Schizosaccharomyces pombe: one gene and its partner. The gene in region 2 interacts genetically with the main gene of each other region. Each region holds a gene or a part of one and is shown on either strand. Other genes may lie near its edges. The genes, in order: SPOM_SPBC1778.03C and adn2.

Region 1 (4,113 bases), 1.3 Mb from region 2:
CCTTGTGCGGTTATAGCAAGACTTGGCCATAAGATCTCTCCAGAATCCAATGTTTTCTCCCATTCTCGTACTGCAATTGGCTTATAGTATTGTGATAAATCTCTAATGCAGAGGAAGTATTCACGAAAGTACTCGACGTTTTTGCTTGGCACGTAAAAGTCTTTGTCTGATGTACCATACACTTTTTCACCGTCTAGGAGAGATTGCAAGCACGAAGCTGAGGTATTAACCAGGCTATCAGAGTTGAGTAATGTAAAGAGGATTCTGTTCAATAGTTCTAAGAAAGTTAGCGAAGGTTACACTGATATATTAAGAAGACTTACTGTCCAGGAGCCAAATTTTCATATTGGCAGTTTTCGAAAGGTAAAGTACATCATTCGGCTGGCACATTTCTGGGTCGGTAGTCCTGGTGGTAATGAAATGTGTAACTTCAAAAGTAAATAATGTTGCTACTTTCTATATATGTGTTAGTTTTGATCTGCGCAAGTTCTTGCATGAACTACTTACGGCTCCAAGATTATTAATCTTTTGCGTAACACGACGCTTGATTTCCTCATCAACGTTGTCAAAGTAAAATATAAAGTTGGGAAACGCCAATCGATAATCTCTTTGCCAGTAACGAAGTTTGGAAACTCGAATGCTGGTTCTTGGTATATCCTTGTTTCGCGTTAGGGAAGGTTTTACACAGTAGTTTGAAAAAGCAGTGGGTGGGAGAGCCATCTTTGCTGTGGCTTTAGCAGAGTCAAAGGCATTTTGATGAGGCATGTGCGTTTGTTGTTGAGGGTACCAGTCGGAGCATGAAGTTGCGCAAGCTGCAGTTTGACACAGTTCTTTGTCCGAAGTTTCTGTTTTATAGCTAAGAGGATTTTGAATATCTCTCTTTACTTCTTCGTTTATATTTTGTATACTGGGATTTTGGTCGACTAGAGGAGATCGAACAAACGGCTGAGACTTCACTGAATAGAAGTCCATACTCTTCCGGATTGACTCGGAAAGATTTTTAGGAAGAAGAAGTATGTATATATATTCCTTGGGAGGCTGATGAATTCACCTGTTGGTTAATCCTACTTATGTCTGGCTTTAATATTCAGCAATGGCCTCGGTAAGCAAGATGCAGGTTTTCCTCTAGAAGTAAAAAGATAAACCTATCTTTTTTTCTGTGGAAGTTTGGAGGAGTATCCTGGATATATATACAATTTGATTTTGTTTGTTTACTCAAATATTTTCTCATATTCACCTAGTATTGTTTGTAAACAAAAGCCTCGCCTCGCGTATTAAGCCAGTAAATTAAACGCGCGACACGTCGCGTTGCGTATCACATTCATACTAAATAAATAAGCTACTTTGGCTCCATTTGATAGTTTTGCTGGGTTCCTTTGTAAAAATTTTTTTAGTATTCATATGATTAGAAAATATATATTTACTTGATTCAAGCTTGTAAAATAAACATAGACCCAATTTTAAATAAATAGGTACCTAAAAGTCTAGGTAACATTGTTACACTGACACGTGAGAACTTTGTAGTTAATTAATCGTCAACATAACGAAAACAACTCAAAGCAATTCCCGTAACTGTCCATTTAGGAATTAACCAAAAAAACAAACAAACAAAATCTATTTTTATTCCAATGATACTTTTATGACTCACCAAGGCGTTAATAATTGCGAAAACACATACCAATATGTTTACAATTATTTTTTTAACGAAATTCGTTAAATACTTCATGGCATTTGAGAAGTTGTATGGCAATCGTATTTAACGGAGACTTTTTCATATTCAGTATCCCTTTTCATTTGGAACTTTAAGGTTTTCCCAGCTGAGAGTTCGTTTACATCATTTTATTAGATTTTTACTTGCAACTTGGGTTCGACTTTTAGTTCACTCATAAATTGTACCATTACCATTACGCTGGTGCATAAATAACCCTCCTTCTGGTCCTCTCTGTTCTTCATTTCCATCTTTCATTTTCTATTCTGCGTATTTTAACAGTTAAACAATTGTAGAATTTATTCGAGAGATTTGCAAAATTCTGTTTTAATAATTGGTTAGGTTTAATATTCTTTTCGTCTTTCAGAAATCAAGTTTAAGTATGCAGGGTTTCAAAATAGCTCGACATTTTGAGTAAGTAGTTAATTGTTAGTTCTATTTAAAGCTACTTCAAACTTGATAATTCATATCATCTGTTTTGCATGCTCATGGAACGTACCGCTCAACCCTTGCTAATACATGTGCAATGTAACACATAAAATCAATTTTTGATATAATAATCTTAAAAAAATGAGTTTTCTAACGTTTTTCAAGGCTTCCGACTGCCCCTTCTCAGTTCTTCGCAGGAAGCTCATTAAATAGGCTTTCGTTTCTTAGGTCTAATCGAGAATTTTTAAATAAAGCCTTTTATGATCATACCACTCGCTTTCTTCCTTTTTGTGACTTAAATCCGGCTCTACTCGTAAAGGACGATAAATTGGTCACTCTTTCATATCCTCAGATATCCAAATATTTCACGTTCTCCCCTTTTGAGCACACTGATAAACAAATTGCTGAACGATTTTCCAAAGGAGAAAGTTTACCTGTCCTTGTCTACATGGGCAACGAAGAAAGAAATGGACCAACAGATAATTGGAGTCAACACAACGTTTTTGCCATTGACATTACTGGCATCGATGAACTTCAGCAATCGATACGAGACAATGGAGGTACTTTCGTTAATCTTCGCTCTATCTTCACCGAACAATATCAATTGAGCGCATCGGATTCTGGTGCTTGTGCTTTTGCACGCTCTATTCTTGACTGGATTTCAAGGTACAGATTTTGCCCGGGTTGTGGAAAACGCAACATACCTACTATGGGCGGTACAAAATTGGTCTGCAGTGACGTTTTATTGAACGACGACTCAAACTGTCCTTCAAAGAAGGGTATTAATAATTACCAGTATCCTCGGACAGATCCATGCGTAATAATGGTTATATTGTCTCATGATATGCAACACATTTTACTTGGAAGAGCTTTGCGCCATCCGAAAGGACTGTATGCATGTCTGGCAGGCTTTCTGGAGCCAGGGGAAAGCTTGGAAGAGGCCGTTGTCCGTGAAACCTATGAAGAATCTGGAGTTGACGTAGAAAAGGTTTTATATTATGCTAGTCAACCCTGGCCTTTTCCTCAAAGTTTAATGTTGGCTTGTTTTGGAATTGCCCGAAAAAATGCTAAAATCCAGAGAGATAAAGACTTAGAATTAGAGGATGTGCGTTTTTTTTCCCGAGAGGAAGTTCTTCGTTCTTTGGAATGGGATGCCAAGGATGGACCTGCTCCAATTTTATTTCCCCCTAAACTATCCATCGCTAGAAATTTGATCCAAGCATTTGCATATGATGATTGGACAAATTCACAAGTTAAAATGTAAAGGAAGTTATAAAAATGGAAGTTTAGCTACTTTTCCAAAGATAATAAGTGAATTTTCTAAAAAGGTTGATTTACTCTGCTACATCAAAGCAAATATAATCGGCTCATCAGAATTGAAATATTCACACCTACTAAATCCAGAAACAAAAAGAATTTTGTTAAGTTCAATATAAAATATTTATATAATAAAATCATGAATTATGCATAAAAAGATTCGTAATATTGTACAAGTTTAGGTCTCTTTAGAGAAATAGAATTTGGGCAGAGATGCTCGGCAATTTAAGAAGTTTGTTTTGAAAGTAGTTTAGCAATGGCAATTCGTACTCTTCCACCCGTAGATTCCATAGCTTCAAGGAATTGTTGTTCTGTTGAATTTGTGTACCTTAAAATATTGTCGATCGCTTCATCAACCTCACGGTGATTTACTGACGACCTTAAAATAGAAACTTCATTTTGTAATTCATGCATTGCTAAGTTAATAAATTTTCCTTTCTCTTCACTGGGTACATGACCTGCAGGTAATGTAGTTACTTTTTCATTATTATCTGACGGTATGATTATAGTCGGACCGGTATGAGCTTCTTCGTTAACCATTCTGTATTTTTTCTGCTTTTTGGTAACCGGTTGCTGCATGTTCTCTTCCACTTTCTTATGAGAAGCTGCATTTCCTTCTAACGAAGTGTGAGCGACTTTTGTGGCACCAAAGCTTTCTG
Region 2 (4,827 bases):
AGTACTACAATTTCACTTAATCGGTAATGAGAGAAAAGGGCACGTATTTGGAAGACTTGTAAATGTTCAAGGTGACTATAAATGGGAATATCTTTTCGTTGATGTTGCAAATTACGGAAAAATCATAATTTTTGATCATACCAATTCTGTACGACAACAACATAAGAATTTTGGTTTATGGGGAAGCTTAAAAAATATTACATGGGGAAATTAGAATTTCCGAATGATAAACGCACGACGGAAAGGTATAGCTGTTAATTTCAACCGAAAAGGAAATCATTGAATTATTTCTCGATTTTAATGGTTTGATTAATGGTTTTTCGCAGAGAATTAATTTTCTAATTTACGAATTAATTTACAGGCGATGTTAATGATTTTTATCAGAATTAGCACACTTAGTTATGCAGTATTTGGATGTATATTGCAAAAAATAAAAAAATCGTCGACACTTTATTACTAATTAAGCGATCGAACCTCATGATTTGTTGTTTAATTAGTTAGTATAAAGAAGCGAATTTGTACGAGGGGCCTTTTCGCAGGGGCTGATTAATCGCCAATCTAATGTACTACCTAAATGTGTTTAGTTATAAAAAATATAAGAATGATTCAAAGCACATGAAATAATTTTGATTATTAGATATAAAGTACAAGATGTAGGCCGGTATTTATAACCGAGTACACTAATCCATATCCAACTAGCAATTAATTATATATTAAATTTTTATAATGACAAAACGCAACGCATTCAAAAAAGATGAAAAAATCTGGTATATAATTTCCAAATAAACAAATTAAAAAAGAAGAAAAACAAGGATAAAATACTTAAGTTTCGACAAAATTAAGCAGCAGTCGAGTCTTCATTATCCGGCAAATTAAACAATCCAAACCATAAATCGTCACCAGTACTAGTATCTTTTAAAAATTTGTCGAAGTCAAAATCATTTAGAAGAGCCGCATCGATGTCTGTTGAATTTCCAACATCCAATAATTGATTGTCTGAAGATTTAGTGGCAACTGTGGTAGACTCCGTAGGTGCAGAAGGAGTCGCGGAAGTATCAGGATTTGATTTTCCTGACTGATTTTGATTATCCAACTCAGAATCGGATTTGTGAACATTTGCTCCTTGCGATGGTTCCAAAGCAGGACCTACACTTGTTGCTTCATTTGTTGATGATTCGGGGTTGGTAGTGTTGACGGTCGGTGCTGGAGTTGGAGCATTTGAATTAGCAGAAGAAGGCTTTTGTTTTGATCGAACGTCCAATGGAGAACTGGCATTTGGAGTGGGTCGCGATGAATGAGTTTGTTGTAATTGCCAATTCCCCATAACGTCCATTCCATTGTCCGCATTATTTGTGTCAGAGGTAGATGAGTTTTCAATCAGATTAGAATAGTTTGATGGATGATCACCTGATGTACGTAAAGGAAGACCATTTTGTAACATAGGCATATTTGACTCATTGATGCCATTAAGATTTTCAGTAGTATTACTATTTTTTGTTGAGACCTTTACAGGAGATGTGGTGGCTTCTGTAGGAGTGTCAGTAGATTTAGGAGTAGTGCTTTTGGTTTTTGCAACACTAGATTCAGTAATAGTCTGAGAAAGCGGTCTATCAGGCGATGCCGATGTGTACCCTTTTCTTTCTTTTTCCTGACTAACTAACAGAAGCCTCTTTTTATTCTGTTGTTCTAGTAGCTTTAACTCCTCCATATAATTCTTGAGAGCTGGGTTTAGACGACTGGGGTTTGCGTTTCCGTTAAAATTATATAGCATATTTTGAGAGTAAGGAGAATTAGAGAATCCGTATTGGTTCATTTGATTTCCAGAAAATTGCCCAGTTGAAGGCTGTTGAGCAGGTTTAGGTTTGTCTAAAGATTTCTGTTGTTGAGGAAGGGTAGAAGAAGGTACTGCTCCTCCTTGTTTGAGATGTGGATTTCTGTTTGAAGCAAAATTTATCTCGTGAAGCAATGGTTGAGCAGAGTTTTGAACAACAGGGTATTGTCCTCCGTTAAGACCAGTGGTATCGTACAACGGATTCGACTGGGGAACGGAACCATTAGGAGTTGCCGGTAAACTAGGGCGAAATTGAGCATTAGATGGAGCACCTTCTGTTTTGGGTGAAGAAGGGATGGATCGAAAATCGGAAATTGGACCTTGCTGCTTAGGTGGATGTGTATCGTGAGTTGTAGGTTGAGAAGTCGTGTTTTGCATTTGTGGGGTAGAACCACTTTGTGGAGTTTTCTTTTGCTGGTGCTGCTTTTGTTGTTGTTGCACAGATTGTAGCTGCCTGTAGTGTAATTGTTTTAATTGTTGAAGTTGAGCAGCGGTCGGGGGAAACGTTTCACGGCTTTGATTATTTAGCATAGCTTGCCGCATTAAGTGCTGATTTCTATCGTTCAATCCACCTGCCCCTTGATGAAACTGAGATGAGTCAATCTGCTGACCCATTGCGTTGGCAGGATCATGGGGAAATGAGGCGTTTGCATAAGGGTGAGAAGTATTTCCAGTGTGTAGAGAGTTTTTTTGAATTTCTTGCAAATTTAAACGAGATTTCTTCCTAAGATTGCTAATATGAGACATATACGCCTTTGCCGGCTCAGATCCTTGACCCCGACGAGCATTGTAAATATCCCAAAAAACATTCCACCACTCGATTAAAAAACCACCAGCTGAATCGATAGGCAAAATAGGAGGTGGCGGCGGAGCAGAAGAAGAAGAAAAGGAATCTAAATTACCGTTATTTACATTCATGTTTTCATCCGAAGATTCATTATTACTTATACCTTCATGCTTTACAGCAACAGGAGACATTCTTTTGTGACGCTTAGCTAAGGAATTGGTTTCTTCTTGACTTCTGACGAGCGTTTGTACTTGTGCTTCACGGCCAAAAGCTCGGGCTGCCTCACAATAATCCTTCTTGATTAAATAATCATATATGTACGAATTCAGTAAGGATTGTGTGGTCCTATCGGCATTATTTACGTGCGGTTGTTTTTGATCTTTTTGTAAATCATGTTTCTGTCCTTGCTGGCTTGGCAATCCGACGCCGGACCTTAAACCTGGATCAGCCATAAACTAGAAATGTGCAGAAGTTAGGTGTTGCGAACGAGAATATGGATCTACAACGATGCACGCTGGCGATATATAATTTTAAAGATCTGCGCACGCTATACTACCGCAACATTTTGTATATCATATTTTCATTTTAGTTTTCTATCAATTACTGAAAATCATAAAATCATAAATGTTATGTTTGAATTTAGTTACAGAGTAAATCAAAACCCTTGAAGAGTAAAACTCTATAGAGGTTTCTTATTTTCCAAGGCAAGTCATGCTCTAAAAACATTTTTAATAATAGTTATTATGTATATATTCGGATTTGAATTATCTAAAATGGGCTATATTAAAATATGGTTCTAAGATGATATACTTTCAATGAATCAACCAGTGGTAATTTCAGATTTTATATATGCAAACTTACTAACTGAAAACTGTGGAATTAAGGGATAGGTGGGTTTAGAAAGTAAATGTAAATTGATATTTCTTCATCCGTAAAAACATCATAATGAATTAAGAATACTATTAGCCGCAGTTTTTTGTAAGAATGCTGTAATTATGTAGATAGTATCAATTATTCTTGTTTTATTTACCTTGCCTTGGAAAATATACATATCTACAGCTTTTTACATAAGTTAGCGATGTAAATACTAAGCACTGGAACTCATATTATCATTTTCTAAAGTTGTTAGAAATGCTTTTAGTAGTAAAGATTTTGGAATGTGTTCACTATTCGAAAACTAGTTGCAAATTGTGTTTTTCAGTAAATCAAGCAAGATGCTTAATTTTGGCACTACAAGTTTTTAGAAAGTACTTACATGAAGATTGGAAGCTTTGCGTAAATTTGTTTAGTTTCACATATTCCACATTTTAGTTTTCTATAATTCATTTTTTATCAAGTAGAAAATTTAGTTTCTCTCTTTCATTGCAAATGCTATAATCCGGCTTTAGAACTACTATCTACTGGATAATCCTTTATTATTGCCATGCTAGATTCCCTGTAGAATTATGGATTTTGATATTAATCAAAAATTAATTTCTTAAAGTACAAATATATTCGACGGGAGAAAGTTTATGAAATTTTGTATGCGGTTATACCTAATCAGTGATTATCTCGTTGTTTATATTTCAATTTTTGAGGCGACTAGAATAGACAATTCAGCCCAGAAAACCGTACATACAATTTTTAAGTAGAAAAATTTGTTAATAACTATACCCAAAAAAAATGTGATTACGCATCTTTAGCTAATGGCAAAATGCTTCTCAAGTGTTTTTGATGGTGGTAAAATCGAGATAGACTAGATATTAAAGCCGCTCGTTAAATATTATAAGACATTAATTGATACTAGTGTTTTTCCTCAAGCACAAACAAGGTCTGTATATAGTATACGGAATAGATATTTCTTACAATTTATTTATACTGTTTAAACGAATTTTAAATGGCTTCCATGAGAAGGGTAAATTTTTAGGGATTTTGCCTGTAATCAAAATGTTGTTCATATAAATTCTACTTTAAGTCCTGTTTATAGGAATGAGCTCATCATTCCTCGTTATTTGAACACCAAAGAAAAGTCCGATTTATTGGTATTTTGGTTGTGACAGAAACCCCTGCGACGATTGTCGATCCGTTTTATATATTTTCCACTCCCGTCCCTGCTATTCATTTTACGTTCTAATTCTGAAAACTGTCAATCAGAAATTGCAGTTATTATATATAGTAAACTGGAAATGGATAAACGAAAGGAATCGGAGAGTGCGACTAATGGACATTT

Evidence for each region.
Region 1: mutations in adn2 (region 2) and SPOM_SPBC1778.03C together harm fitness more than expected from each alone (negative genetic interaction), as found in Schizosaccharomyces pombe (one large-scale study listed by BioGRID).

The regions. Positions count from the first base shown.
Region 1 is NC_003423.3:3,100,143-3,104,255, reverse strand, and holds SPOM_SPBC1778.03C (NADH pyrophosphatase), read left to right. Parts: upstream 1-1,892; 5' UTR 1,893-2,090; coding exon 2,091-2,122; intron 2,123-2,302; coding exon 2,303-3,401; 3' UTR 3,402-3,613; downstream 3,614-4,113. Other genes in the region: Spo4-Spo6 kinase complex regulatory subunit Spo6, read right to left, coding at 1-277, 324-456, 508-972; telomere-binding protein Rap1, read right to left, coding at 3,680-4,113. UniProt on the Schizosaccharomyces pombe protein: mRNA decapping enzyme that specifically removes the nicotinamide adenine dinucleotide (NAD) cap from a subset of mRNAs by hydrolyzing the diphosphate linkage to produce nicotinamide mononucleotide (NMN) and 5' monophosphate mRNA.
Region 2 is NC_003423.3:4,399,778-4,404,604, forward strand, and holds adn2 (transcription factor), read right to left. Parts: upstream 3,093-4,827; 5' UTR 3,071-3,092; coding exon 839-3,070; 3' UTR 606-838; downstream 1-605. Other genes in the region: TIM23 translocase complex subunit Tim21, read left to right, coding at 1-214; U5 snRNP complex subunit Spf38, read left to right, coding at 4,784-4,827. UniProt on the Schizosaccharomyces pombe protein: Probable transcriptional regulator involved in cell adhesion.